Caenorhabditis elegans: one gene and its partners. The protein of the gene in region 3 purifies or fractionates together with the protein of the main gene of each other region. This does not show direct contact. Each region holds a gene or a part of one and is shown on either strand. Other genes may lie near its edges.

Evidence for each region.
Region 1: the proteins of F01F1.11 (region 3) and pad-1 fractionate together in Caenorhabditis elegans (co-fractionation; one large-scale study listed by BioGRID). This does not show direct contact.
Region 2: the proteins of F01F1.11 (region 3) and fkb-4 fractionate together in Caenorhabditis elegans (co-fractionation; one large-scale study listed by BioGRID). This does not show direct contact.

What each region holds. Positions count from the first base shown.
Region 1 is NC_003279.8:12,874,650-12,885,386, forward strand, and holds the start of pad-1 (Protein pad-1), read left to right. Parts: upstream 1-3,989; 5' UTR 3,990-4,002; coding exon 4,003-4,155; intron 4,156-4,850; coding exon 4,851-4,944; intron 4,945-5,097; coding exon 5,098-5,356; intron 5,357-5,998; coding exon 5,999-6,188; intron 6,189-6,646; coding exon 6,647-6,878; intron 6,879-7,511; coding exon 7,512-7,988; intron 7,989-8,574; coding exon 8,575-8,753; intron 8,754-9,316; coding exon 9,317-9,527; intron 9,528-9,810; coding exon 9,811-9,870; intron 9,871-10,367; coding exon 10,368-10,737. UniProt on the Caenorhabditis elegans protein: May be involved in protein traffic between late Golgi and early endosomes. Essential for cell patterning during gastrulation.
Region 2 is NC_003283.11:12,782,059-12,792,289, reverse strand, and holds fkb-4 (peptidylprolyl isomerase), read left to right. Parts: upstream 1-5,163; 5' UTR 5,164-5,290; coding exon 5,291-5,371; intron 5,372-5,524; coding exon 5,525-5,790; intron 5,791-5,891; coding exon 5,892-6,144; intron 6,145-6,840; coding exon 6,841-7,020; 3' UTR 7,021-7,137; downstream 7,138-10,231. Other genes in the region: ugt-5 (UDP-glucuronosyltransferase), read left to right, coding at 1-1, 54-143, 192-302, 360-649, 697-931, 976-1,061, 1,112-1,248, 1,303-1,576; srbc-43 (Serpentine Receptor, class BC (Class B-like)), read left to right, coding at 1,772-1,955, 2,133-2,488, 2,544-2,639, 2,696-2,797, 2,926-3,093; srbc-44 (Serpentine Receptor, class BC (Class B-like)), read left to right, coding at 3,739-3,922, 4,091-4,446, 4,490-4,582, 4,623-4,724, 4,863-5,021; sre-20 (Serpentine Receptor, class E (Epsilon)), read left to right, coding at 7,426-7,444, 7,778-8,032, 8,082-8,208, 8,342-8,498, 8,544-8,666, 8,716-8,852, 8,900-9,068; ZC455.1 (LIM domain protein), read right to left, coding at 9,405-9,539, 9,588-9,771, 9,815-9,942, 9,990-10,231.
Region 3 is NC_003281.10:5,866,916-5,876,963, reverse strand, and holds F01F1.11 (PAP-associated domain-containing protein), read left to right. Parts: upstream 1-5,086; 5' UTR 5,087-5,119; coding exon 5,120-5,138; intron 5,139-5,190; coding exon 5,191-5,373; intron 5,374-5,420; coding exon 5,421-5,656; intron 5,657-5,707; coding exon 5,708-5,872; intron 5,873-5,920; coding exon 5,921-6,128; intron 6,129-6,420; coding exon 6,421-6,604; intron 6,605-6,647; coding exon 6,648-6,818; intron 6,819-7,148; coding exon 7,149-7,200; 3' UTR 7,201-7,279; downstream 7,280-10,048. Other genes in the region: aldo-2 (Fructose-bisphosphate aldolase 2), read left to right, coding at 643-684, 744-825, 1,163-1,914, 1,966-2,190; F01F1.3 (MIF4G domain-containing protein), read right to left, coding at 2,362-2,520, 2,564-2,710, 2,760-2,874, 3,395-3,522, 3,571-3,698, 3,840-3,909; F01F1.15 (DUF3456 domain-containing protein), read left to right, coding at 7,436-7,517, 7,565-7,764, 7,809-7,907, 8,039-8,239; eng-1 (mannosyl-glycoprotein endo-beta-N-acetylglucosaminidase), read left to right, coding at 8,465-8,562, 8,857-9,062, 9,150-9,468, 9,511-9,768, 9,958-10,048.

The DNA of each region.
Region 1 (10,737 bases), on a different chromosome or scaffold from region 3:
GTAGAATATACAAATTAGTTAAATATATCTTTTTTCAGGAGTGAAAGGCAATTGCCGCTCGGAGAGTTAAATTGCTGAAAATTTGGAAAATCGAGAGTTTGCCGACTTTTCTTTGAAATTTTTCACTTGCTAAATTCGCTGTTTCCTGAAAAATATATTTTACAAACTACAGTGGTGCTAGGCTGTCCTATGACGGTATGATCTACAAAAAATGCGGGAATTTTTTGCAGCGAAACAATTTGACGTCAGCACGCTTTTAACCATGCAAAATCAGTTGAAAACTCTACGTCTCTTTTTGTAGATCTTGTAGATCCCGCATTTTTTGTAGATCTTTGTAGATCAAACACTCTGACACCACGTTCAAAAAAAACCATTGTTGTACAAAAATCTAATACAGGTACAGATGTTAGTAAATATAATGTCAAACCTAAAAGTTCCAAAAACCTTAACATTAAAAAAAACACATGTGTGGTTCCCGTCACCACCTGATAATACTATAAACATGTTTTTTAAATTTCATTTCTCCGCAAGTTTATCATCAAGTTGAGTGAATACATCACATAAACATACGAATAAAAAAATAAAACGTTTGTCGAATTTGGAATGTCGTGTGAATTTATTGGAACTTTTTGATGGTTTTTTTTTTGCGAAAAATAAGGTTTTTAGGGGCATTTAACGTTGAAACCCAACAATGCACCTAAATTTTAAAAATATTATTCGAAAGAAGAAATTTTCCACTGTTTTGTGAGATATTCTTTGTTATTTAAATACAAGCTTGTTCGGATAATTTTATTCCAGAATTTTCTAAATTTCTCTAAAATTATTTTAACGCGTTTACAAATAGGAAAAGCTAACAAAAATCACACTCACACATGTCACTCTGAAAATGTAGGCATTGTCGTTAAAAATCGGAATGCAAGAATGGTGATAAAAATGGGCGGTACTTGTTCAAATTTTTGGTTGAGGTTAGGAGACTACAAACTACAGCTGTGTCTAGACAAGCTTATATAATTTTTTTCTAAAATCGATATCTTTTGTGTAGTTTGTAGTGTGGCCAAACAATCTCAACCAAAATTCGCTTGGCCACTACAACACTAGATTTCGAATATTTTCACACAAAAATCCCAGAAAACCTACTACAAACTACAACACTTCAGCCTCAAACACCTGAAAACTGACCGCAACGAGGCTTGCTGACTACAAACTACAAAAATTTGAGCTTCTGACATGGTGCATCGTGGAATTTTAGAATTTTGGAATTTTAACGGACGTTTATCATTTTACATGAATTTCCATTTTCAATGTTAATTTCGAATCGAATAAACTGTTTTTAAGTAATTCACTCTATTTTCCAGCTTGAAAATCAAATATGTGCAGAAAAACTGAGAAAAGAAAATGGAAAATTGGGAAAACTGATGTGGGAACATCACATTCGTTTCCCTTTGTGGGGGAACTTTGTGGGCGCCAGGCCAGGGACACCCAAATTTTTATGCGTCTTCGATCATTTTATTGCCCTTTTTGCTTCTTTTTCGACTTTTCCGCCACGATTTTCAAGGTCTTTTCGACAATTTTTTATTGAAAAAAGATGTGGAGTACGGTAGACAGTGCCACTGTGCGCATTGTACGTGGATGCGTACAATGCGCCAGACTCGACGCGCATAGTTTATTGATTTTTTTAATTTAATTTTCGTCCGATTTTTCGTCCATCTTTCCTCATTTTTAACCGATTTTCCTGCATTTTCCGCTTGAAAACGTTTGTATTAGAGAGTAAAAGTGTTAAACATCAGAATCCTGAGCATTTATAAATAGAATGCGTGCGCTCCGCCCGTCTCAAGTGTTTGTTGTCCAGAAAGTGAAAAAGAGAAAGTGCTGAGATGACGTGAATTTTGCATTTTCATCTTTTGTAGGGTTAATTGGCATTGAGAAATTGTTTAAAATCTGTAAATTCTATGGGAAAAATTCAGAATTTTATTTTTTTTCGCAAAAAAAAAGATTTCCAGTCTTTTGCCCGAAAAATGTCGATTTTCGGCATTTTTCCGTGGAAAAAAGTGTCTTTTCCGGTTTTCATGCTGCAATATTGTGTATTTTGTAGTACTTTCCACTTTTTAATTCCACTTTTCAAATTTGTATGCCTAAAAAACTCGGAAATCAGTTTTTTCCTAGAAAAGAGCCAGATTTGTGTAGTTTGTAGTGTCTGCTTGAACTAAAAAGTAAATACTAGTGAAAATTATACAATTTTCCGCCTAAAACTATCAAAATCCCTGTTTTTTCGTTAAAAAAGTTTAAAAAAATAACTGAAAAAATCACCGATTTTCAGAAAAAAAACCCCCATAATTCGCTGTAAAAAAGGAAAAAATCCAATTTTTTTCGCAAATTTTTTGAGATTTTTCGACACTTTTGTAGTTTGTAGTGCGAATGGCTCACACTACAAACTACACGAATTCAGATTCCCCTTTTCAATCCACGCGCCAAAAAACGAGTGGATTGTTTCCACCTGCACACACTGCAGTCTTTAACAGCCTGCGTCTCTAGCGATTCGTATTGTGTCTCGTCACTTGACACGCACAGTGTCTGCGTCTCTCTCATTCCGTACACTATCTCGTCGTCTCTGTTTCTCATCAATACACACTGCAGTGCCGCGCCCTTGTGTTCAGGGGACACCGGCGACGATTCTTCAATACATATACATTCATATTTATTCCAATTTTTCCCCGATTTTTCATTCAATTTTCCCACCAGCCGCTCCATTGAACTTACCACGTCATCATTTTTCTGGGTTTTTTTCTGGAAAATTTGCAATTTTTCGAGTTTTTTTGATCAAGTGACCGGTATCTTGCGAAATATTATTTATTAAAATATTGATTTTTGGCTTAAATCCGGAAATTTTCTGTAGTTTGTAGTCGGAATCCTTCTATAAATTAGTTAATAAGTAACTCAACATTTGATTATCTAAAAAATTCCAATTTCAAATCGTAAAAAACCATTTTTTGGTTGGAATTAACTCGAAAAATGTTTCAAACCCCATTAAATGCTCACAGGGGTTTGTAGTTTGTAGTCTGAGCTCCAATTTTGGTTTTAATAGCCTTTTAGTGCAAAAAGGCCGAAAATTGAGCCAATCTAGCTATTTTTTTCCTGAAAATGAAGGCAATTTTAGGGTAAATGTGTTATAATATTGTAGTTTGTAGTTCGAAAATTAACCTAAATGTATATATTTTTTAAATAAAATTAACTCGAAAAACATGTAAAACCCTCTTTTTTTTAAAACTATTTTTGGTCTATTGCACCATGTTATTTCAACATTTTTCATTAAAAATTAGTGTCAAAATATGGAAAATCACATTATCTTCAGCTGAAAATCTAGAGAAAATGCTCAAAAATGGTCTGAAAGTTGCCAATTGTCGATAAATAAATTGGCAGCTTTCAGGCCATTTTTGAGCATTTTCTCTATTTTTTCACTGAAAATAATGTGATTTTCGGATAAATCAAGTGATTTTCTATATTTTGACACTGATTTTTGATGAAAACTGTTGGAATAACATGGTGCAATAGGGAATTCAAAATATATCGGGAAGATCTTTTAAATAGTGAATAACTTGCAAAAATTAGTTGTTCCGATTTTCGAGGTTATTCATGCAATGCGGAAATTTAGAATTTCAAATTTCTGCATGAATAACCCCATTAAATCGTCGATTTTTTCATGAAACGTGGGGATTTTTTGGGTTTTAAAAACTTCTAAAATCAATTTTTTGGTTAGAAAACACCTGTAATTTCTGATATTCATTTTTGAGCATTTTCTCTATTTTTTCAACTGAAATTAATGAGATTTTCAGATAAATCAAGTTATTTCGGACTGCAAACTACAATATTATAACACTTTTCAACTCAAAATAGCCTTTAAATTCGTTTTTTTTTCACGCTCTTTCCCCCATTTTTCCCCATTTTCCGTAACATTTCTCAACTTTCTGCTCAAATTCAAAGAAAAATTGCAGAAAGAAATAAGAAATGGCATCAGCATCAGGTGGAGATGTACCAGCGGGTCGAGAAAAAGATAGTAAATATCGTGCATACGCAAAAGCCATCGATCAGGCGTTGAAAACATTCGAAACACCCAATGAATGGGCTGATCTCATTTCGGCACTCGGAAAATTGGCTAAAGTGGGTTTTGTTAGTTGGAAGAAATTTCTAGAAATTCAAAAAATTTATTAACATTTTAGTGAAATATACATGCTATTTGCAGCCTAAAATACTAAATTTTTACTATAATTTTTATTTAAAAATTCAATATTTGCACAACTTCTAACATTTTAGTTCCATTTTTATTGTTTTAAATATCAAATATTATGGAAATATTCTGATTAAAAATACTAACATTTAAAATTCTAAATGTAACTGTTACAATGAATTAACACTGTTACAATATTGAATATTGAATAAACATCGCATTTTTCAATTTAATACTGTTATTTCTCGAATAAAGTTTTTAAAAATTTAATATTTGATGTTTACAGGATAAATTATCCTATTTTATTGAAATCAAATATCAGATTTTTAAAACTTTATTCAAGACATAACAGTATTAAAATGAAAAATTCGATGTTTATTCAAGTTTTTAACAATGTTAATTTATTCTAACAGTTATATTTAAAATTTTAAACGTTAGTATTTTTAATCAGTAAATTTTCATAATATTTGATATTTAAAACAATAAAAATGGAACTATTGAATGTTTTCATATAAAACAGAATTATAAATTACGCTATGGAATTTGTTTTTTTTAATTTCATATTTTAAAATGCATGTTCCTAGCAAAGAAATTATAGCAATAAATTTTTAAAAAAAAATCTATTCAGGTATTCCAATCAAACGCTAAATTCTGTGCGATACCAAATCGGGTAACCGTCGCGAAACGTCTGTCACAATGCCTTCATCCAGCACTCCCTATGGGTAAGGTTTTTTAAGAAAAATGTCATTAAAATATGGAAAAAAAAACTGAAAATTGACACAAAAAGTCAATAATTTGCACAAAAATTCGCTTTTCAAACATTTAATTTGAATATTTTCCAAAATCTGTCAGACTACAAACTACAAACTTTGCAGGTGTCCACCTAAAAGCCCTCGAAACGTATCGTCAAATCTTTGAAATTCTCGGGCCGAATAAGCTTCCCGAATGTCTATATCTATTCGCTGTCGGCCTATTCCCTCTAATGGATCACTGTGGAATTAAGGTTAAATCCGAGCTATTCACAATATTTGAGAACTATTTGGTACCACTTGGAGCAAATTTACGGCCCGCATTGCCCGGATTCTTGGGTGGAGTTTTGTTGGCGTTGGAGGAGGGAACAGAGTTTTATGAGAGGTAAGAGAGAAAGAGAGAGAGAGAGAGAGAAGACTACAAACTACAAACTACAAACTATAAACTAAAAAAAATTCTGAGCCTCAACCAATTTTGGTGAGGTTAAAGAGTACAAACTACAAAAAAACTGCACTTACCAGGAATTATTTGGGTTGCAAGAAAAAAAAACAATTAAAAAATTCGGCAATTCCACAAAACTCTCCATTGCACCATGTTATTCCAAAATTTTCCATTAAAAATTAGTGTTAAAATATAGAAAACCACTTAATTTAACTGAAAATCATATTATCTTCAGCTAAAAAATTAGAGAAAGTGCTCAAAAATGGCCTGAAAGTTGAAAATTTCCGCTAAAAAAATTGGCAACTTTCAGGCATTTTTGAGCATTTTCTCTAATTTTTCAGCTGAAAATAACACGATTTTCAGATAAATCAAGTGATTTTCTATATTTTTACATTAATTTTTAATGGAAAATGTTGAAATAATATGATGCAACGGAGGAGAGTTTTGTGGAATTGCCATTATTTTTTGAAAAAAAAAATATTTAAAAAATCTTTTTTTAATGTCAAAATACCACAAAAACCCCAAAAAATGAGAAAAGTCTGTGCAAATTTGTTGTAGTTTGTAGTCTATCAAGATTCTTTTCAGATCCTTCATTCTTCTGGATCGAGTCTGCGAAAAAGTAGGCCCACGGGCCTTCTACGCGTGCCTCTGGCAGGCAATTCTCGGCTCACCGCCCGTTCGATTACCCGCCATGATCTACGTGAACGCGAAATTCGACAAATTAAAGAGCCTCGATGATCAGATTCATTTGGTTGGAGATCATGTTAATCATATGGTACGGCGGAGTGTTACCCTTGAAGCGAAATTTTGCGATTTTTGCGCCAAAACTATGGTAACAGGTCTCGACACGACAATTTTGTTAACTGCAAAAAGGTGTGCGCCTTTAAAAAGTACTGTAATTTCAAATGTTCGTTTCTGTGGAATTTTTAGCTATTTTTCAATAGATACATATATCTTTTTCGAAAAAGAGCAACAAAAGTCGGAAGTTACAGTGCTCTTTAAAGGCGCACACACTCCTTTTCGCATTTTTCAAAAAAAAAAAAAGTTGTCGTGTCGAGACCTGGTACCGTGTTTTTTGGCGCCAAATTGCGAAACTAGACGAAATTGTGCAAAAATTTGCAAAATTTTCCCAAAAACTGCAAAAAATTAGCCAAATTTTTCTCAAAAAATGTGCAAATTTTGTACAAAATTTGTCCAAAAAAAGTGCAAAATTAACGTGTAAAACTATTGCAGGTAGCCGCCCTGTGTGCAGTAGCCGATGATACAGGTTCTCCACTTGTTCAACGGTATCTTTTGGATTTCCTAGTCGCCGCATTTCCATTGGATAGTACTAATCTGACGAATGAAGATTTTGTTCAACTTCTCCGAAGATGTCTTTTTGTAGTGCTTCGGAGAGATATGTCATTGAATCGACGTCTTTATACGTGGCTTATTAATCGAAGTGGAGAGACGAAAGGTGTCTCAGGTACAAACTACAAACTACAAAATTTTAAGCTATTTTTTGAAAAAAAAATCCCAATTTCTAGCAAAAAAATTGGTTGAAAATGGAGATTTTTAGGATGAAAACCTGTAAAGCTTCCCAAAAAAATATGTAGTTTGTAGTCTCTAAATAATTTTTTTCTAAAAAAAATCTGAAAATGACCCCAAGTTTCCTGAAAATTGCATTTTTTAATATTGGAAAATCGATTTTTTTTTTGAAAATTTCGGAAAAAAGTGCCTTTCTCATACAATTGATTAAAAAAAAACATATTTTGACGATTTTTTGTTGTAAATATTTAAGGAAAATTATAATTTTTCTAGCACAGAAGCTACAGACTACGAAATTATCAAGCCGCGGAGCCAAAATGAGCTCTAGGCAGACTACAAACTACATTTGAATTTTTATCGAATTTCGTTAATTTCGATAAAAAAACTTAAATTTTCTTTTTAAAAAATAAGAAAAAGGCCGAAATTTATGGATATTTTTTGAAAAATCGATTTTTTTTTCCGATTTTTTAATTTAAAAAATCGAAAAAAAAAAGATACTGAAAAATAATAAAGATGCTCCAAATTTTAAGATTTTCTTCTAAAAATCGAAAAAAAAATCCAAAATTTCCAGGCCTCTCACTCGGCGGACCCGATGACGGAATTGAGCTCACATTTTTCAAGGAACGAGTGCTCGGCCTTGTACACGGAGCTCTTGGTGAATATCTTGCTCTTGACACTATCGAAACTCCCTTTGCAAATCATCAAAATTCAATGTGGGGAGATCGAAAAGAAGCGGAGCAGGTCCAATTCGCGGAGGTTCGAGTATGTCGGCTTCTGCTCTACCTACAGGATCGAGCCGATATTGGAAGGACGATTTTGGAAACAGTTTTTGCGGATTTTTTGAAAAAATCTGCAGAATTTCATTCGAGCAGCAACAGCTCCTCACTGAAAAAGAGCCCCAGAAAGATACAGCAAAGTCTGAAAAATCCGCGAAAACCCGGAGATCGAGAGGGTCTTTATCTTGATTTGAATTCGGTGTGCTCTACGTCCAATAAGGATGATGATGTCACTTCTGTGACGTCATCAGCAGCAGCAAATGCCAGTTCTGGTGGGTTTTTGCTGCTGAAAATTGTGATTAAAATTGAAATTCTCTGTAGTTTCTATTGCACAGCATATTTGACGCGCAAAAATATATGGAGGGGGAAAATGTGGTTTCGAAATTGAAAAAAATCATTAAAAATGAATAAAAATTCTATAAAGTTTCTAACAATTAAATTTGTTATTACGGAAACACCGAATTCTGAGAATGCGTATTGCACAACATATTTGACGCGCAAGATATCTCGTAGCGAAAACTACAGTAATTCTTTAAATGGGTACTGTAGCGCTTGTGTCGATTTACGGGCTCGATTTTGGAAATTAATTCAAATCATTTATCAGTAAAATAATATGAAATTGGATTTCAAAGATCGAGCCCGTAAATCGACACCAGCGCTACAGTACCCATTTAAAGAATTACTGTAGTTTTCGCTACGAGATATTTTGCGCGTCAAATATGTTGTGCAAAACGCATTCGCAGAATTCGGTGTTTCCGTTATACCAAATTTAATTGTTACAAAATTTATAGAATTTATATTTATTTTTAATGATTTTTTTCATTTTCGAAACTACATTTTCCCCCTCCATATTTCCAGCTCCGCCACCAGACGAAGAGGATTTGGTCCAAGCACGGAGAATCGATGAGTTATCGAAAACTTTCAATATGCTCTTAAATTCACTGGAACCCGGTTTCTTGTGGACATTTCTTGGTGATTGGTATCGACGGATTGTTGAGAATAACGAATTTGAACGACAGATTCATGATTTTTCGCAGGTTAAAAATTTTCTGATATTTTTTTATTGACAAAAAATTCAAAAAAATTAGAAAATATATTTCTGCCAAAAAATTTCAAAAAAAGCCACAAAAATTGCCAAACAATTTTTTAAAAATATACTTTTAGCAGAACATTTCCAAACAATTTCCAAAAAAATTCAAAAAAAAAACGTTTTTTCACAAAACAAAAACGGAAAAATGTATATCCAAAAAAGCCAAAAAAAAAATTTTTTTTTTAATTTTTGCCAAAAATTTCCAAAAGAATTTTAAAAAAACCAAAACCACGTAAAAAGTGTATATTTTTGACAAAAAAGTCCTTAAACCAAAAAAAAAGTCCAAAAAATCGAAAAAAAAAACATTTTTGACAAAGAAATCCACAAAAATTTTCTAAAATTTCTAGAAAAAAATTTTTGACAAAAATATTCGTTTTTTTTTAACAAAAACATGTTTTCTTCCGAAAAAAAAAATACGAAAAATGTATATTTTTGCCAAAAAAATTTCAGAGAAAAACAAACTTTTTTTTGGCAAAACTTAAATAAATGTTCTACCAATTTGCATTGCAGGTTGTCTCAGTGTGCCTAGAAATGTGCAACGTGGAAAGTGATCCAACAATTCGAACACAACATTTGCCACGTCTCCTGGAAACTGTATTAGAAGGAGTTTCGAACAAGAATCTACTATCATCTTGTGATCAATCGGATCTTCTCCAACTCTACACTGTCTGTCAGAAGCTTCTAGAAATTAGTACTGCACATCCACCATCACCGATTGAAGGTGAGCAGGAGATGGGGTAGACTACAAACTACACTACGTGGCCGTGAAATACCAAAAACTCGGCCACCTATTTTCAATTGGAACAAACGATTTTTCGAAAAATATATTTTTTTAAAACATTTTTCTTTTTTGAAAAAATTGAAAAATTTTCCATTTTCTGGCAAATCAACAAAAAATATGACTGGCCGATTTTTTGCATTTTCTAGGCCACGTAACTGCTAAAACCCTCACAAACTAACCCCCCAAATTCTCTGTTTTATACTCATTTTTCCCCAATTTTTAGTTGACGAAATCGCCGAGGATTCGTTGTCGATGAGCCAGGAGGTCACCGCTATTGAGCATGGTTCGGTTTTTTTCCTAATTTTTAGTTGGGATTTTTTAAATAGAAAATTGGGAAATTTCATCAATTTTCAATGAAAAGTGCCCCAAATTGGTTAAAAGTTGTTAATTTTTGTGCTGAAACCCCTAAAAATTGCCTAAACTTACCGGAAATTTATGAAAAATTATTGTTTTATTCTTGAAACACTTTGAAAAATTCGAATTTTGAATGTAACTATGATTTTGTTTTTTTTTTGTTGATAAAATTATATATTTTTTGAAATTTTTTTTTATTAATTCACTGGTTTTTTAATAAAAAAAAGAGTCCCAAATATACTCTTTGCATTTTTTTTTTCTCGAAAAAATCCTATTTTTAAGATAAAGAGGCTACAAACTATAATCTATTTATAGTAGCTTTTGTAGTTTGTAGTGTCGGATCAGGTAGCTCTAAAACTACAAAATACAAAAATTCTCCAATTCAGATTCTCCAATACAAATTTCGCTTTAAATTTCAAATTTCAGAACGAAGTCAAACCGACGCCTGCCTATCCCAATGCCTATCTGCCCTCTCCGCAATTTTCGAAATCTACACAACTCGACGTGAAGCCTCTCTGATCCCCCTAATCGATGCCTCAACGACACTTTTAAACGCTTTCCTCGAAGTTCCAATCTACTATTTGGGTTTTGGAATTGTCGATAATCCTGGAGACTATTGTCGAGAATCGTCGGAAGAAGTTCAGCCATGGCTCAAGAATATGCTCAAAGTGATTGATGGTCCTGGATGGCTTCGAGAGATGCGTGCTGGCTTGTGTGCTGACGTTTCGGCTCGAGCATCACTTCTGGAACTGCTCTGCAAGATTTATGTGAAATCTGTGCAAGTTTTAGAGCAACA
Region 2 (10,231 bases), on a different chromosome or scaffold from region 3:
CGTGAGTTTAACTTCGACTAAGCTTTTGAAAAAAATCAAAGACAAGGTTTCAGACATGTTCGAAGATGAAGCACTTCATCGCCAGTTGAAAGACAAAAAATTTGATGTAGTTCTATCCGAAACATTCGATTTCTGCGGACTGTGTAAGTGGTGCTTTATAAGTTCAACTAAAAGATCACATGTGTTTATAGATCTGGCAGATTATCTGGAAATGCCTGCAATCATATCAGTTTTCACTGGAAATCGATTAAATGCAATTACCAATGCACTAGGAGAACCGTCATTCTTGCACTATTTACCATGTAAGATTTGAAAACAAAATACTATAGCTATATCTAGAAATATGAAGAACTCTTCAGCTCCCTCTTCGTCATTCAATGCAAATATGTCACTTTATGATAGATTCAACAATTTTTGGCACAAAATACTCTCATCCTCAACATTTGGGGAACTCTTCGATCGACAGTACGCTGATGTGTACCGTCTAACAAATGGAAAAGCAAGACATTGGAAACAAATTCTCAACGATGTCACTTATCACTTTTCCAACTCTAATCCATATCTCGATTTTGTTATTCCAACTATCGCAAAAGTAATTCCGATTGGTGGCTACACAATGGACTACAAACAAGTTCCGCCTGTATCAAAAGTGAGTTAATTTACAAAATAATCAGTTTCATTGTCTTTTAATATCAGGATCTTGATACCATTCTCAATTTGAGATCTTCAACAGTATTCATTTCCTATGGAACAATGATTTCTGCAAAATATATGCCAGATGAATACAAGCAATCGATGATTGATTTTTTCAAGGATAACAAGAATGTAACCTTTTTATGGAAATATGAAGAACCAGAAGAGAAATTTATAAAAGAAAATATTCCGGATAATGTCCATCTTTCCACTTGGTTTCCTCAACAGTCTCTCCTAGGTCGGTCATTTGAAATAATGTTTTTGACGTTAAAAAATTTGTAGCTGATAAAAGAGTAAAACTATTTATAACACACGGAGGACTGGGAAGTACAATGGAACTAGCATACTCTGCGAAACCAGCAATCGTGGTATGATAGTTTTAATGAACTTTGAAAATTAGGACAACATTTGAATTAAGACTCCACTTTTTGCGGACCAACCCAGCAATGCACAAATGCTTGAAAGGCATGGGAGTGTTGAAGTACTTTCTAAGCATGATATTCCAAATTGGAAAAAACAGAGCGATCTACTAAAAACAATGTTGGCTGATAAAAAGTTAGTTTTGGAATTATATGTATTTTTAGTTTCCAAATTTTGAACTGTTTATAGATATCAAGAAGCAGCAACTCGTTTAGCTGATATACTAAACAATCAACCAATAAGCCCTCGAGAATTAATGTTAAAGCATGCTGAAAATGCAGCACGTTTTGGTAAAATTCCATCATTGACGCCTTTTGCAAAAGATATGGGATTCATCGAATTCTACAATATTGACTTGATTATCTACTCTGTTTCGTTCACTCTTTTCGCAATTTACGTAACAATCGAAATATTTGGAATTGTTAAAAATTGCTGCAAAACTCGAAAACTGAAAAATGAATAAATGTGATGTTTCTGCCGGATCGAATATTTGTTTTATATCATAAAGGGCATTTTCAATGCTTGGTGCCTTAACTAATTTTGAAGTTTTTACATAGTTATACTTCTTGATAACTTCACAGTTGAGTTCGCTTCAGTTCAATCAGTCTGACGTTTTCATGCAAAAAGTAAAAACTACAAGAAACACAAATTTGTTCAAATGTCTTCTGAATTCAACTATCGAGCATTTTCTGTCACTTCAGTTGGATTTATTGCTTCAATTTTTATTGTGGTTCTCAATATTCGACTTCTATGGAAATTTCAAAACTCTCTCATGAAAAACAAACCTGAATATCACTTATTCAAAATTAGATTCATAGTTGATATATGTTATTCTTTGACAGGTACAGTTTCATTGAAATTTAAGAAAAGTTACATGTAAAGAACAAAGTTTATATTTTTATTTGGTAGAACACCACAGTTTCTTAGCACAACATTTTATCCTTTTTGCAACCTGCTGGATACATTAGTTGAAAAATTCCATCGGAAAAAGATTTTCAAAAAAAAAGATTACATTGCAGTTAGTATATACTACTTTTCATTAATTGTGTCTTATATCTCTCCTTTCATTCTTTTCCAATATAAATCACTGTTTATTGCAACGTTATTATCCTCAAACGTTGTCTCAACCAGGTTTTTCTTGGGAGCTTTAATTTCAATTGAGCGGCTCATTGCTGTATTTTTACCTGTCAAATTCCATAATAATCGACAGAAAATATCAATTTTCACATTTTTTATTATGTTAGTATTGTGGGGAATGCTGGAAGATGTTATGTATTTTTGGGTTTGCAATATTTCTCCATTTGAAAAAACTTGCTCAATTTTGGGGTGCACTTGGAATGATTGTTTTTTGCAATACTGGACTGGAAACAAACTTGTATCAGTTTTAAAATTTTTCTCGTAATTTTAGTTTTTATTTTTCAAGTGTTCAGATAATTGGTTTATTTACATGCATGAGTTCTTTGATTCTATTCGTAAAACTTTTATCACTGAAAAAAGCAATGAATCTGAATAATGATCTGTCAAAAGTTAGTAATATCAGTGTTTGCTCTATTTCTATAATTAGTATAATTTCATTTTTCAGACGAATTACTTATGCATCGGCGACGCGTGCCTAACTCTTATATTTGACTTTTCACCTTTTCTGGTGACACTCATTTTCAAAACTCAACTTTTGTCAGCAGACGTGAGTTATTCTAATAAGAAACATAAAATAGTTCAAGCATGTTTGTGTGATTTGATGAAGAATGAGTAACGCTTTGATGGAAGCTATCAAGATTTCAAAATGATCGAGAGTATTTTATCATATTTCAGATCTATGGGCCATACAATGCTACTGCGAAAAGTCTTGCATGTTTTATTGATGCTGTAATTGCAGCTATCGTGTTGAAAATACCATCAAAAATAAATTCTATAAAGAGTGTAAATCCGCGTAGTGGAATCACTTCCGACCGACATGGATCAAGCCGAACTCAATTTTAAATCATTCCTTTGTGGATGTGGATAAATTACTGAAAATTGTAATGCATACTTAATATTTTTGGTATCTGAGGATAAACAAGAAAAATTGGTAAACCGTAAAAAAATATTTAAACCGGTTCAAAATTTGAAAATCCACCCAAATTCTATGCTTCCTATGTACATATGAATGTATATATTTTTATTTTTGCGTTAACATAATATTTCTGCTACAAAATGCACGGATGTTCTTTATACGGGTGTCCATATACAGAACTACAGAACATAACATGTCAAATTTTCGCCAATGATTTTGAAGTTTCCGAAAATTGCCGAAAATGACAACTGAGAACCCGGAAAAACTTTCAACTGTTGCTTGGAAATGGTAGTACTGGAAACTGCGTTGTGTCCATCATTTTGATAATGGAGTAATTTTTTGTGAGATTATACTACATTTTTCCAAACTTCATCATATTAATCATCACTAAGAATCTCAGTACATATAATTGGTTTTCGGTTTCTAATCTGATTAGGAAGTTTTTGTGCACATCAGTGATCTTACAGTTCAGTTCACTTCGATCTCCTCGTTTTGCTTTCTCTGAGCGGAAATTTGGCATACTTCATAAGACTGACAAGTTTCTAGTCTTTGGCATTTTTTTTTCTCTTCTAATGTCTTACGAATTCAAACACAAGGCATTTTCGGTCAGCTCGGCAGGAATCACAGCGTCGATATTTGTTGTGGTTTTGAACATTAGACTTCTGTGGAAGTTTCAAAACTCTCCAATTAGGAAGAAACCGGAATATCATTTATACCAAATACGATTTTTTGTTGATATATGTTATTCAATCGCAGGTAATGTTTAATAGATTTTGGAAAATGCAATAAATTCTCACCCAGTGGGTGTCGCAGGCATAAAATTAATTCCTCTTTAAATCTATGTCTGATAGTATAGAGGCTCATATGATCAGGATAGTGCAAACCCTCAAAATGTCGAAAACGAAAAATCTTACATGGTTACAGTTAGTATATACTATGTTGCCTTGGATATATCTTACCTCTCTCCATTCTTTCTATTTCACTACAAGATATTGTTTGTCGTGACATTATTATCCTCAAACATCCTGTCCACCAGATTTTTCCTAGCTGCTCTGATTTCGATAGAAAGATTAATTGCAGTATTTTTGCCTGTTCAGTTTCATAATAATCGTCAAAAACTACCTGTTTTTATATTTTTCACTATGTTACTTTTATGGGGAATGTTTGAAGACGTTATGTATTTTTGGATCTGTGATATTTCTCCATTCATAAAAGATTGCTCAGTTCTGGGATGCACTTATAATGATTGCTTTTTGCAATACTGGACTGGTAGTAAATTGGTGTGAGTTTTAATTGTATTTATTTTCAATTAATACTTTTCAGGTAATTGGAGGATTCACTTGCTTAAGCTCTTTGGTTCTCTTTTTCAAACTTTTGGCATTGAAAAAAACCATGAATATTGTCAATTTATCAAAGGTAGGCAAATTTAGCCTTTAGTAATTAATACTTTTTTCAGACAAATTACTTATGTATTGGTGATTCATGTTTGACTCTTCTATTTGACTTTACGCCATTTCTTTTGACGCTTGTTCTCAGAACACAACTTTATTCTGCAGACGTAAGTGGAATTATTTTGAAAACTGTTTTGCTCAAACATTTTTTACAAAAGGCTTTGAAATTATTAGGTTTAAATAATTTGAGAAGTTTATAAACATTATAGTAATGACTTAGAAGAGCTGATAAATTATAATTTCAGATCTATGGGCCTTACAATGCTACTGCAAAAAGTACTGCATGCTTTATCGATGCCATGATTGCAACTTGGGTCTTGAAAAAACCATTAAAACCAACTCAAATTAGACAAATAAATTCACTGAAAAGAATTTCCGACCGACATGGATCTAGTAGAACATAACTTATAAATTTTAATTGTCAGATCATTTTCCCTCTTCTCTTGTTTTACTTCCCTTACGCGAAAAGCTTGCTAAACGATTCTTGTAAGCGAGATAGTACGAGACGCAAGCACAAAAGAAGGACACTATGCGATAGATACTGCTGTTGCCGTGTTGGCCTTCGATCAGTGTAAGAAAATAGAAAACGCAGTCGTAGACGCATTTGTAACCGCTCATCCACTTAGACTAATTCCACTCCCCAAAAACATTTATTTCTATTACTAAAAATCAAATGAAGTTTTTATATCGAACCACTTGTTTCCTGATTATTGTATTTTCATCGACAGTTTTTGCAAACGATAAGAGCTGGAAGGTATATTATTTAACAAATTGGAATTTTTCATTTAGCTTGACTTCGTGAAATATATCATAAAAACAATTGGAAGTACAGTTTCCAAACTATAAACGATATTAGGAAATTTAAAAAAAAACCACTTCTTCTTGAACAAACTATTCAATCGTTCAGGAAGATGACGGATTAGAAATAACGATAACATCGTCAATAGATGAGAGCGAATGCGAGATCAAATCCGCAGGTGGCGATGTAGTTGATCAGTACTACAAGTTGACAGATGAGAAGGGAGTTGAAATTGGAAGCAATTTTGGAAAGAAACCATATACATTCACGTTGGGAAGGAATCAAGTGATACCTGGAATGGATAGAGCTATGCGAGGAATGTGTATTGGAGAGATTCGAAAAGTTGTGATTCCCCCGAAACTAGGATTTGCGAAGTAAGCAAGGGATTATATTATTATTAGTTTCCTAAGGATAATTTGTTCCTGAGAAGTTTGATCATTGAAACCATACATGAAGTTTTTTTTTATAATTACAGAGACTCGACTGGTCAGCCACTCTATTACACTGTCCAGCTGGTGAACCTGTTCCGTGCGAATCCTGGGGAGAGATGGGTCACTGAAGAAGGAATTCAAATTGATCAGATTCACAAGATTGAAGCAGACAAATGTAAAAAAGCTGAAGCTGGCGACAAGATTTATCAGCAATATGTTTTGAGATTAGAAGATAACACACTTGTGGACTCATCTTATTCAAGAAATGCTCCGTTTGTATTTAGATTGAGAAACAGAGTAAGTTTTTTCAGTTATTAAAAAACCAACCGCATATAGGTAAATGAAATTTAATGAGAAAAAAAATCATCACAGATTTTTTTTGACACTCAATTTAATAAAATAAAATTTCTCTCCCGGCCACTTTTTGCCCAATTTACCAAACCTTGGACGAAAGTTTGTTTGAAGTTGGGCCAGATTTTGGATTTGTATTTTGAGTTAGAGTATTCGAAGTTTTGTCAGATTTTGGCAAAAATTGGTTTAAACATTTTTAAAACTTTGGTTTACTCTTTGAGTACCTATTAGAAGTTGATGTATGTAATATATGGTGTATGTAAATCCCGAGAATGTACGTTTTCATTTTTAATCTCATAACTGTCTGATGAAAATGTGGTTTGAGCTAGGTGTTATGTGGTTTATAAAAATTAAAGAAACTGGTTGTTACATTGGTTAATGAAATCTTATTTCACCTGTCATGTGAAATTTACAATTTTTTTACGTAGGGAGCAAATTACAAAACCCAATGAAAATTATGCTTAATTCTTTGTTTGAATTTTTTTATTAATATTATTCTTGTTTATTTGATCTTCAAAATTGAAATATTCTGATGATCTAGAAAAAAAAACATGAAAATATATATATCATGAAATTTTGGCGCAATATTATATGATCGGAAAAATTTTTTGTGGCAAAGTACATAATACAATATAATTTTAGGAAGTTATCGATGGAATGGATATTGCAATGGATGGAATGTGTGAAGGAGAACGACGTCGTGTTGTGATTCCATCTGAATATGGATACGGATCCCAAGGATCCCCACCAGAGATTCCCGGTGGTGCTCGTCTTTTCTTCGAAATTGTTCTAGAAAAGCTTGTTAAAAGAGATGAACTTTAGAGTGATTTCAGATGTTTTTTGTTTGATTAATTATTGAAAAGGACTTCCTGTTTCCGTTGAACGTTCTCTGTTAATGTTACATATGTACGTGTTTGTGCCATAAAAATTTCTTGATTTCTCGTAGATTTTTTCAAAAAACCAGCTGCAACGATTATCCGAAGCAAGCTTCTGTAGCCATCGGCTCTCATAAAGTCGGAGAGCAGCTGAAATTGAATTGAAAGACCAACCAACATCACTTCGTCATAAGTTTTCAGAAAGTGGGGAGTGTCGGCTGACTACTGCCAGTGTTAACCTACAATTTTCTTTTGATTTGTAATTGAGCTACAAAATTGTTAGAAAGACATTTAAATTTGAAGCTGTCGGTGCGAAATTTTCATTTTCATGTCAGAAGAGATATTGGTAACAATGCCCCATTCAACAGTGTGTAAGTTTTTTTTAATAAAGTGACATTTTTTCCTGCACGTTCCGGGAACTTGTGAATTTGACGTTCAAATTTAAATCATAAAATGTAGCGAAAATGTTTATTGGTGTACCTTTAAAGAACGTAACTCGCCTTGAAAGTGCTCATGTTGTACTAAAGAAGTTAATCTTGTCACAATTAAAAACTGTTACAGTAAAATAGGTATAGGTATCTGTTGAGAAATATGATGCCGTTCCCGTAAAGAATCAGGTGAATTTTTTGCGTTGAGTCATTTACTGTAAACAGTTTTTTTTTCAACTGAAGCAAACCACGCATCAAAATGTTTTATTGTTTCAGGTAACCCTACAATATTTTCATTATTTCTTGATGGAGCACTTCGCAAAATGAGTATGACTGAAAATATAATGTACATAATAATTGTATTGATTGCATCAATTGCAACAATTCTATGTCTTTTGATAGTTGGTAGATCAAACACATTTCATCCAAATCTTCAAGGACCTATATGGTTTACAGCATTTGTTTATTTTGATTTGACCATAAGCAAAATGTTGACAATCGTATTCCAAACTACTTATTTGGTAGAACAAAGTACATACTAAATTATTTTGAAATATTAAAGTCTTAAACTTTTTTACAGATGTCCCCGAGGGTGGTATGACTATGATATTGTGGACTGCAGCTACTCATTATCATTTTTTATTTACTGTTATGGCAGCTCCAATTGTTATTGTAGTTGAGAGAAGTCTCGCGACATATTTCGTTTTGTGAGTTTTAAACATTTGAAAACATATAATTTGTCTGATTGAAGTGTTTCTAGTATACACTTTTCAATTTACTGTCCAAATCAATTTTCGAAATTTTTGAAATGTGTTTTTGGAATAAAATTATAATTTTCAGTGATTATGAGAAGAAAAAACGTCGATACATTCTCGTACTACTTTTATTATTCCAAAACTTTTTTGGTGCAACTTTTACTCTTTTGACAGTCAACAATATTCTTCGATATATTTCTGCAGCTGTTTTAGCAGGGATTATTGCAATTTCTTCATTTTTGGTATGTCATTTTGACTCACCAAATGTTTAATTATGTTACTTTCAGACGTTTTTATACAATTGTAGAATTAACAAGCGAACTTTGCATTTTGTTGAAACTCGGAATAGAGACATAAAATTTGATTTGAGCGTCAGATATCAGCTGCGCGAAAACGTCAAAACATTTAAGGTTTGCTTTTGCATTTTTTGGAATTTGGTTTTGATATGAATGATTTCAGATGTTGAACTTTTTACTGCTAATGCTCACTGGAATGATTGTTCTTTTGGCCATTCTCAAAACAATTCCAATGATTATAGGTGTTGAGGAGAAAACAAAATACATGTTCAAAATGAGTACAGATATGATTGTGCACGCGTGAGTCTACAATGAATCATTAATTCAAGTGTTCTTTCATTTTTCAGAGGTCCAATTTATGTTACGATAACTCTTATATGTGCTGTGGAAGATTATCGAATCATTTTCTACCGATTTTTGGGATATGAAAAGAAAAAAGTGGATCCGTGCAAAATTAATTCAAAACAAACGGAAAGAGATATTTATTTTGAACAGTTTTTGAAAGTTCTGAAATAAATATTTCCAACCTGGTGTTGCTTCTTAAAATTAAAACCACAAATTCAACGTTTTTAATTTTTTAATATTGAAAAAATGCGTGGAGCATTGTCATTTGTTGAATTCTTCAAATTTCCTGAAGATACGATCTTCATAACTCATAATTATTCCAAACGTAATAAAATAAAATAAATTCATCCGGGCAACTGATAATTGATGAGATGAAAAAGAGACGAAACAATATTGATAATAGTTTTGGCGAAAAACACATGTAAATGAATAAGGAAAATAGAAAATTCTAATAAATAATCTACCGTGTGAAAGTTTCTGTAGTGATGATATAAGTGAAAAGGCAGTTTAGTTCACATTTGCAGCCATCGTTGCTTTTTGGGATTCCATTATCGATCGAGGTGTAGCGCTGAGCAAGAATTCGACGCGGAATCTTTCTCGAGCACCAAGCTGGCGATTCGGTTCTCGAATCATTTGGCGAAGCTAAAATTTTAATAATTTGAAAATTAACATATTCATTTTAAAACTAACCAAAGTATCTACACAATCGGCACGTGCAGTATCAATCCATATCTTCACATCTTGCTCATTTTTGAAATGTTCACCACCGGACCATAATGCCAATTCCATTACATTTTTGGCTTTTGTTAAACTATTTGATTTATCTTCTTGAAGGAGAACGGCACAAGCTGACAATGCCCTTGAGAATCGTGATCTAGAACTTTTTCATTTAAAAAAATATTCAAATTGAGTATTACCGTAATTGGATTGGAGGTGCTTTTCCATCCATTTTGTGGTGAAGTAATGTACAAAGTGCTCGCAGAGCATAACGGCAAAGGCCGACTAGTTCATCGCCGCCGCTTTCAATTTCTGCTCCAAGTGTTTCCTATAATTAGAATTTTAAGAGTTAGTTTTACGTAAACGTTTACAAACCGGCAGGAACAAAAGTCTTGGGAACTCATTATATGAAGAATTTACATTTGGATATCGGTATGCTAATAAGAATTCTTTGAAATTTGTGCTCAGCGACTCCACGCCTTCTCCTTGTAACATTTTCAGAGCTTGAAGAACTTGAAGAAGAATGAAACTGACAAGCTCTTCATGATTTGTTCTATCCATTCTTTGATTAAGCTGATGAGCAGCCAAACTGTGGAATGAGCAAAGATTCAGTCGTG
Region 3 (10,048 bases):
AAAAGTTATCATTGATCTGTACAACGAATACTCTGAGTGAGGTGTTTTTAATTCTTATCACTTCAACTCTTCAGTTTTAAGACTGAAATTCTAAAGAAAAAACATCAGAATTAATTATACTTTTAAAGAGAGGCGTACTTTCGCAAATGGGTCTCGCAGCGCAAGCCAACGACTAACAACGACAATACCGCACATTTAAATTCAATTTTAGGATTCATTTTTTCATTTCCAAATTTTTCGGTTTTTTCTATAAGAAAACAGCCGAAAACTTAAGAAAATAATTCCTGCACAATTGTGAAAAATTGTTTTTAAAAAATTGTGCACAATTTTATTAATTAAAAAAAAATTTTTGTGTAGTTTTTTTAAGGGATTTATCTACTTTATCTATAGATTAATTTGCCGAATTGACATACTCTTTAAAAATAGGCCTCAAAACTTTCTATCTCGGAATTTTTCGATCATCCTAAAGTAGTACAAGAATATCACGTTTCAGTTCTCTGCGCGCCAACAATATTTGGCGCCGCCCGTTCGCCGTCTCCCGTTTTTGCGCACACTCTCGGCGACTGTACTGATTCTCTACACTCTCCGCCTCCCCATTTTCTCGACCGTCCATTTCATTTCGCATCACTTCTATTTTTCACGATGGCAACTGTCGGAGGCGCTTTCAAGGACTCTCTTACCCAGGTTTGTTGATCATTCATCATTTTGTAATGCCCTTCTTAGTTTAATTGTTGTATTTCTAGGCTCAAAAAGACGAGCTTCACCAAATCGCTCTCAAAATTGTTCAAGATGGAAAGGGAATCCTCGCCGCCGATGAATCCACTGGTGAGCTATTGGAAAAATTCTTCTAGAACTAGAAAATCGAGATTCTTATCTTCTCACAATCATCTTTTGACAATTTTTCTATTCAATAAGAATTAGCGACTTATGTTCAGAAGTTCAAAAAATAAATTTTCACGGTCTAGCGATCATATTCTGTGCCCTCTATCGCCTCCAATTTTCGATGTTTATGTTGTTGAAATTGGAGATGTTGATGCATTGATAGTGCGAGTGATAGATAAAATTGTAGATAGAAAGAAAGATAACATGTAGAAATGATATTGGGGAAGACCGATTTCTTCTTTTTTATAATGCAGCACATCGTGACCCGATCAATTTGCAGGCACAATCGGAAAGCGTCTTGATGCCATCAACCTCGAAAACAACGAGACAAATCGTCAGAAGTATCGTCAACTCCTGTTCACTACTCCAAATCTCAACCAGCACATCTCCGGAGTGATTCTCTACGAGGAGACATTCCATCAAAGCACCGATAAGGGAGAGAAGTTCACCGATCTTCTCATCAAGCAAGGAATCGTCCCAGGAATCAAGCTCGATCTCGGAGTTGTCCCATTGGCTGGAACCATTGGAGAGGGAACCACCCAGGGGCTCGACAAGCTTGCCGAACGTGCCGCTGCTTTCAAGAAGGGAGGATGTGGATTCGCCAAATGGCGTTGTGTTCTCAACATCGGAACTCACACCCCATCTCACCTCGGAATGCTCGAGAACGCCAATGTGCTAGCCAGATACGCTTCTATCTGCCAGGCCAACGGACTTGTTCCAATTGTCGAGCCAGAGGTTCTCTGCGACGGAGAACATGATTTGGCTCGTGCCCAGAAGGTTACTGAGCAAGTTCTTGCCTTTGTGTACAAGGCTCTTGCTGATCATCACGTGTATCTCGAAGGAACTCTTCTCAAGCCAAACATGGTTACTCCAGGACAATCGAGCGCGTCGAAAGCTTCACACGAGGCAATTGGATTGGCTACCGTAACCGCCTTGAGACGCGGAGTTCCAGCTGCAGTTCCAGGAATCACTTTCCTGTCTGGAGGGCAATCCGAACTTGATGCCACTGCTAACCTCAATGCTATTAACTCGGTAAATTTAAACGAAATGGAATAACCTTATATCACTCATTTCTATTTACAGGTTCAACTCGGAAAGCCATGGAAGCTCACCTTCTCTTATGGACGTGCTCTTCAAGCTTCTGTGCTCAAGGCATGGGGCGGAAAAGACGAGAACATCGCTGCCGCTCAGAAGACACTCCTTCACCGTTCCAAGGCCAATGGAGATGCATCTCTCGGAAAGTACGCCGGAGAAGACGCAGCTGGAGCCGCCGCCGAGTCTCTCTTCGTTGCCAAGCATTCCTATTAAGCGATGACGCATAACTTCCTGTGAATAGATTTTTCGCAACCTCGTCCCCAAGATTGTATAATTTCACTGACCCCGAAATGAAGTTTTATTTCACCGAAATTTTATATTTTATGAAACCCGAAAACTAAAAATCACCAAAAGTGGGAATATTAAGGATCTACTTCAATATATTCAAACAATGCTCTCTTTGCTTCCGAACTCTTGCTTGCTGATATCATTCTTCCGAAGTGGTGTCTGATCAACAATCGATAGCTTCCCTTCTGCACTCAAAGTGAGAAGACATTCAGGAATATTCAGCTCACTCCATCCAAATGCCCAAAGATCATACACCTAAAATCAAATAATCAATTGATCATTCTCTGATCTTCCTCACATGAATGAATATTTGACGGACATGTTTAGTGACAATTGGATCTTCACTGATAAGTTTATGACGCAATTTTACAATGATTCGTTCGACGAGATATGAATTCAAATCGTGAAGAACGCGACCATTCTCGCTGAGAAGTATCCCGGCTGTCTGAAATTAAAAAATTCTAGATTTTTCAGAAAAATGTTTCTGTGGAAACCTCTAGATCTTCGGTATCTGGAGCATCATCAATAAGTGCATCCAAAGATGAGAACATTGGTTTTATGAAGCATTTTGACACACATTCGTCCATTTTCACATATACTGGATACATTCTGAACGGATATTTCAATATGAATTCATCGAATTTCAACTACTAATTTTACTGTTGGAAAATTCCAGTTCTCGCGTTTTTTTTCTATATTCTTTGCAAGCAAATACTTACGATTCATGTGAGAAAAATAAGGTCCCTGGTTTCGCCACGACAAGCTTATGTTAACTAAAAAGAGGTGTGCGCCTTTAAAGAGTACTGTAGTTTCAAAATCTTAAATAGTTTTCCTCACGATTTGTTAAAATGTATTTATGTATTTCTATTTTTTTTATTTTGAGTTTTTAATAAATACACATATTTTTTTCGGGAAACTATGAAAAATCAATAAAAATTCATCAGAGCTCTGCAGTGTTGAGTTTTTGAAACTAAAGTACTCTTTAAAGGCACACACCCTTTCTCATTCAACAATACCTCAACATGATATATCATATGATATCAAAATTGCGTGTCTGACTACAAGAAACATTCGAAAATTGGAATAAAACGATAGTTTCTTTCGAAAAAAAAAATTGGAAATTGCTTACGAAAAAAGTGTCTTCACACAATTCCTGAACATAAGTCGAGAATCGTTTCGAACTGAAAGCCGGTTACGGTAGTCGTTGAGTAGTAGAGCCAACACATTTGAGGATAATGAAATGTCTTTTGGATCGGACTGGAATTTTAATTTGTGGTTTTTGAGGTTACCGTAGTACAGAACTACCTTATGGATGTGCATTAGTATATTTGCAGCAACTGGTCCAAAGCGTCCATCCGAAAGCCATCGGAGCCTCATGTGTTCGGCGAGAACTTCTGTAGAATGTTGACCAGCAAGCATACTGTAGGCTTGCACTGAAACTCGAATTTTTAAAATTGTGGGTCCCGCGACGATCCACATCACTTTTCACTAAATAACGGGATCAAGGCGTGAGCAGGCACATTTGCCTGATTCTACATACAAAGAACGATTTCGAATTTTCTTAAATAGCTCACCTGGAATTGGTCCTTGTTGTGTGAGAGTTGCAAGAGATGCAAATAGGCTCCGTAGTTTATCATCGTTCATTTCGTGATTATTGATTTAAAAAAAATGTCTGAAAATTTTCAATTTCTGAAATTTCCGATTAACTTAATAATTCTCAAATATTGCCGAGTTAGCCAATTTTTTTTAATTGACGATCAGGGTTCTAGAGCAAGCGAAATATTTCAGCTACAGTACCCGCGAGTACTGTAGAATTTCATTCTTCTTACAGAAAGTTGTTTCCTATTTGACAGTTTTCATATTTCCTGATATATAATAAGACTTCTCAGTAATTTAAGTTTTTCTAACAAGTTTTCAAAAAATTGTGGGAACTGGTTGAATACTTACAGATACTGTATACTAAAATTTTTAGCTCGTGTCAGGACCCAAAAAACTAATTTTTTCTACTAAAAATTGTACAAAATAACCGGGTCAAATCGAAAGACGAATGGCTCGAGCTGAATGACGCAAGAGATTTGAAAATGAGGTGAAAAGTGTCACCAGAGACAATTGGGTGCTTCATGCTCAACTTTCAAGATTTTTTATCTCTTTCGAAAATGCATGATGGCAAAGTTCAGAAGGCAGAGCAAGCAGCATCACACACTCAAAAAATGAAAAACAGAGGAAAAGTGACGGCTGTTTCGAATTACACAACACATGTGGCGAACAGAGAGCTCTGGAGAGCATAGAAGAGGCTCAAAACACATGAACATAGCAATATAATAGACAATTAAAATATTGGAATTTTCATGAATTATATACATATGTATTTTTCAGATGGGTCTCGGCGCGCAAAAGTTTATGGTAGACTTTTTAGAATTTTCACGTCTGCTTTTTTGTTCATTTGCCTTGCGTTTTTCAATGATATTAATTGTTTTTTAGCGAATCATGTCATATTCTTTTCATTTTTCTATCCTAGAGTTTGTAAATATGTTGTTTTATAAAAACACCAACGCTGTTTTCGGTTCATGCATACTTGCATAGGACAAAAATTGCTTGATTGTTTATAAACATAATTATTTTTATTAGCTTTCTCGTGTGGAAATGTGAAACTTCAAGAAAATTCTATTTTGCGGCTGGAAAGGGAGGAAAATTTTTGTGCGGCAAATTAAATTCAAATTTAGCGCGCAAAAAGGTGTTGGACTTTTCTCGGCCGTGCACTCCTCTCGGACAACGTTTCTCTGGTCTCTCTCGGTTTGTCTCTATTCTCTATTTTCCTTTTATTATTTTTTTTCAAGAAATTTACCACAAAAATATGAATAACTCAAATAGAAGTAAGTTTAAAAATAATAATTTTATTCAAAAATTAAAAAATGTTCTTTATAGTAATTCCGTTTGCTTTCAAAAGCTCTGAACACGGCTCATACGAAGATGAGATGATGGAAATGGAAGACGTAGTCGATGTAGAGGACTATATGGGCGGAGAAAAATATGATTCTTATAATGATGCAAAAGAAGATATTAAAGATTTTAAGACGACTCAAAGAATGAAAAAAATCCATCGAATGGGTAAAAAAATTATCAATAAAATATTAAAAGTTCAATTATTGTTTCAGAAAAAATTGAGCAAAACATTGCCTCAGAGAAAATCGATATAATCGAGCTTGGAACACGTGTGATGGTGTCGACATCGGATAAAACGCTCAATGAAGCTTCATTGGAGAGAACCATCCGTTGCGGAATATCTGAAGCCACATTTCTCGGAGATATTTCTATGGAATCGCTGGTAGAAGGTATGGTGAATCCATCGGCGGCTGATGGAAGGTTTGCAATGCTTGGAACGTCTATTATGGTCAGAATTCTGATAGCCCGGAATTCAAAATTCCATTTTTTGATTTTTCAGCTAAATGCGCTAAAGTCAAACATTAAAGACCTGAGAGGAACAATTGTAGGACAGACGACCAACACAAATTCAGAGTCAAAATTCGATAAAATCGATTTAAGTCTAATGAATCTCTCGCATTGCCAACAAACTTCTTACAATATTCGAGCAACAGGTGTATTCTCTGTGAGTTTTTTTTTGTTTCAGCTTCTATGAAAAAATGCCAAATTTTAGAATGCCGATCTTCAATATGTGTTCAGTTTGCTGACGTTCCGCAGAAACGCAAAACTTCTCAACAAAACCAAGCAGTTTATAAAAGCATATTTTTGTGTTGCGTGCCGTCCGAGATGCATGATCTGGAGATATACTTTAAGAAGAGCTGGAAATAGTCAAAGAAGAGCCATTCTTAACTTACCATCCGCCATTGTTTCAACTATTACTCGTAAGTTTTAAATAAAAAAAGAGAATCCATGGGCTTTTTCCAATATTTGGAAACAATTTTCGTTTTTTCAAAAAATAGTTTTAAATGTTGACCTTTTTTCCTTTTTAGATGGCAATTATATGTTTTTCCTTAATAATATTGATTGATAACAGTATAAGCCTAATTTGATTTAAACAAAACATTTTTTTGTTGTAAAATTGCTAAACTTTTTTTTTGATTTTCTCAGAAAAAAAATCCATAAAAAATTTCAATGATACCCTTGCCAATAATCAATTTTTATTGTTTTTTCCAGAGTTTCTGCTCGATTTGACAGGAATTAGCGATGCAAACATCCCATACGATCAGCTCGATCCAATGACACCACTATCAATTTCACTTGGAGAAGATGAATCAATGCGTGTTCAACGATATGAAGAAGCTTGTCGATTGAAGGATCCATTGACGAGATTCTTTCGAGATGCAATTACAGATTGCTTGTAAGTGCCTGAATCCTTGAAAATACATTGAATTAAATTTCAGAAATGAGCTCCGAGAGATGCCGTTTTGCCTGAACACGGGCATTCTGTTGAGCCCGTTGCGTGGTCGAGAACAAGGAACTTCTTGTGTTACATGGAAAGATTATGAAGGATTTTTGAAAAGAGAACACGATCTGCCTTCCGAAGCGAATATGAAGAAGCGAACGCAGTTTGAGTAAGTTTAAAAAATAATTTCGATTTTAAAATCCTTAAAATTTGCATTCAGTTATAAGTGTAATTTTTTTTTGGAAAAAGCGTAAAATTTGAAAATCAATTATATTTTCAGTTACCGACAGGATAACAGAATTTTTCTCTATTTTCGCTCCCTTTTTTTCGAAAAATACCAAAAATAAAATTTCATTGCTGCTCGCTGTTGCGGAGCGTTCTTTAGTTTTTCACTACAGTACTACTTTTGAAAAAATTGTACGTGACGAGGCCGGGTAACATATCTTTGAGACGAGATTTCAGAGTTCATATCTGAATAGTATTAAAATTAAATTTCCAGACAACGGCTCTGCGACATTATTCCACGTGTACGTCGACCGGTTCCCAATTGAAAAAATGTTTAACTTATCAATTTTCGATCTCTTGAATACGTTGTTTCCAATCAACTTTAATGAATAATATTCATGTTTTATTCGTGAAGAAAAGTACCATTTACACAAACACTGGATACCTATCCAAACACCGTTCTTTTTCTTTTCTTTCTGCCACTCTCCCAATCATTGTTTGCTCTCTCTCTCTCTCCGCTTCACTTGGTCATTATCGACGCTTTTTAACCATTTATTCAGAATGCATTTTGTTTCTACACTGGTTTGTCTCATATCACTGTCGGGTATTCAATCTGCATCGGTTTCTTCATTAGAGTGTGGAGGTTGATAGATTTTTCTAAAATATATTTTTAAATATTGAAAATTTCAGCCTGCTCCCTCCTCGTAACCCATTTCGAGCTGAAAATCGCCGCAGTCGACCCGAAAAAGAAAATCGAAGTTGGAAGTTTCCGAGTTTCACCAACTGGAGATCAAAAAGGGCTCAAGGAAATCGGCTATGCTCGTTCAGAATCTCATTTGACAGAAATCATTGAGCACGCTTGTGATGATGCGAAACACTATAAACTTGTGGTAAGAACCATAAATTGTATAGATTTTTACAAATTTCTCTTCAGGTGAATACAATTACTGGAAAATCAGTCTACGTTCACAACGACGCCACACATTTGAAAGGAGATGAGTCTCCCAAAATGAGATATAATCTTCAAAACGCTGTAAGTTCAAGCACGGGATTCCAAACTCTAGTTATTATTAGAAAACAATCCCTAATGAGAATTAAGAACTTTTTCAGTTTTTTGCAGAAAACTTCAGTCTTGATTTTTTAATTTAAATTTCTAAATTTTAGTGCAACGACTTCATTGACTCTCACGAAGATGAGCTTCTTGGTTTCCTGAAGACCGCCCATCAGGATCCCGTCAAACAGTTCTGCCAAGGAGAAATGGGTGCTTGCACTGCTGTCGATGTGGCACCTCTACCTGCTGCTCCAGAAGAACCAATGGATCTTTCTGATATTCCAGATGATGAAATTGACAGAAAAGAACTTTAAATTAAATTTTCCTTTTTTAAATTAGTAATTTATGAATTTCAACTCGTTTGCGGGATCTGGAAATTGTGCTATATCGTTATCTGTTTGAATTTTAATTTATATGTGATTTGTTTTGTGATATAAACTTCAAGTTTTTCCTTTCGTGAAATGCTAAGGGTAAAGTTGAAATCAATTGAAATATCGCAGAGCCTCTTGATCTTGACTTACAATTCTATTTATAATTAGATGACGATTTCTCCAATTGACACACTCGAAGAGCTCTGGAGTTGGAAATCACGAGAAGATGTTGGCGAGCAATACAGTGAGCAACTGGTTAACTTTAAGTAATTTTTATGAAATTTCAGAAAGAAAATTAATTTTCTACCTGGCAATAAGAATAGTGTTAAATATTTTTAGCCCGAATGCGAAAAAAATGGTTTTGGCGCGAGCCAATTTTTTCAGCTACAGTACCCAGTAGTATGGTAGACTTACATAATATTTGGTTTTTACTTAGTTTTAAACTTTTTTTGATAACTTTATTGATAAACAATAGTCACAGTCACAGTCACAGGACAAAAGCTTCGATCGTGCTGAGACCTAAAATCATGGATTTTCCCTACTATATGGCAAAATTTCAGACCACATTCGGGTCGTCAAATCCTCGTATGCCACGATATGCGTGGTGGATATTTGGAAGAGGAGTCTACGGAAGGAAAGAAATTCGAAAAAGACCGGTACCCGTACATGTTCTTGAATTGGTGGCAAATCGACATTTTCAACTACTTTTCACATCATTTTGTGACGATTCCACCGGAAGATTATACACGAATTGCTCATAAACATGGTATAAAATATTAAATCTAAAAATCGAAATAACACAAAACATGCCCGTCCATTTCTTGGTTTTTAAGTCAAAGTATCCCAATTTCAGGTGTTCTTTCACTTGGAACATTCATCACGGAATGGATTCCAGGATACGATATTTGTTCGAAAATCTTGGAAAATGAGGGTTCGGTAGAAAAAACAGTGGACTGTCTGGTGGCTGTTGCGAGATTTTTTGGATTTGATGGATGGTTGATTAATATTGAAAATAAAATTGATGCAGGAAAAATCGATTTGTTGATTCAATTTTGTTCGAGTTTAACTGAAAAGTCAAAGAAAATGAATGAAAATTCGAAAGTGATATGGTATGATTCGGTACTTGATAATGGAAAGTTGCATTGGCAAAATGAATTGAATGAGATGAATCGGTTAGAATATTAGAACTGTACTGAAATATTAATATTTTTAAGAAAATTCTACGATGCTTGTGACGCCATCTATCTCAACTACAACTGGAAAGATAAAGAACTTCTTCGATCGGCTGAATTTGGAGTTCTTGATCGGATCTTTGTTGGAATTGATGTATGGGCTCGTGGTTGTGTTGGAGAATTTCATTGTGATCAGTCATTTGCATTGGCAAAACTTTTTCACATGTCAGTTGCTCTTTTTGCACCCGGATGGATTTATGAAAAGTTTCCTGAGGAAAATCAAATTTGCAAAGGAATTCAGTAAGGTTTTTTGAAAATAAAATTGAAAAATCAGAAAAAAAAGACTACAGTACCCCGATAAAAATATAAATTTATAAAAAACATAATTTTTGAAATTTAATTTATTTCCAACTAGAAAATTCTACATTAGGATTTTTTTCAGAAAAATTCCACAATTTAAGTTTTATTGAAATTTTAATTTAATTCCAGCTTCTGGTCCAAACTTCTTCCACACATCCGAACTCGTCCTCTAACTTCTATAAACTTTGGCACCAACTTCTGTACTGGAATGGATCAAAAT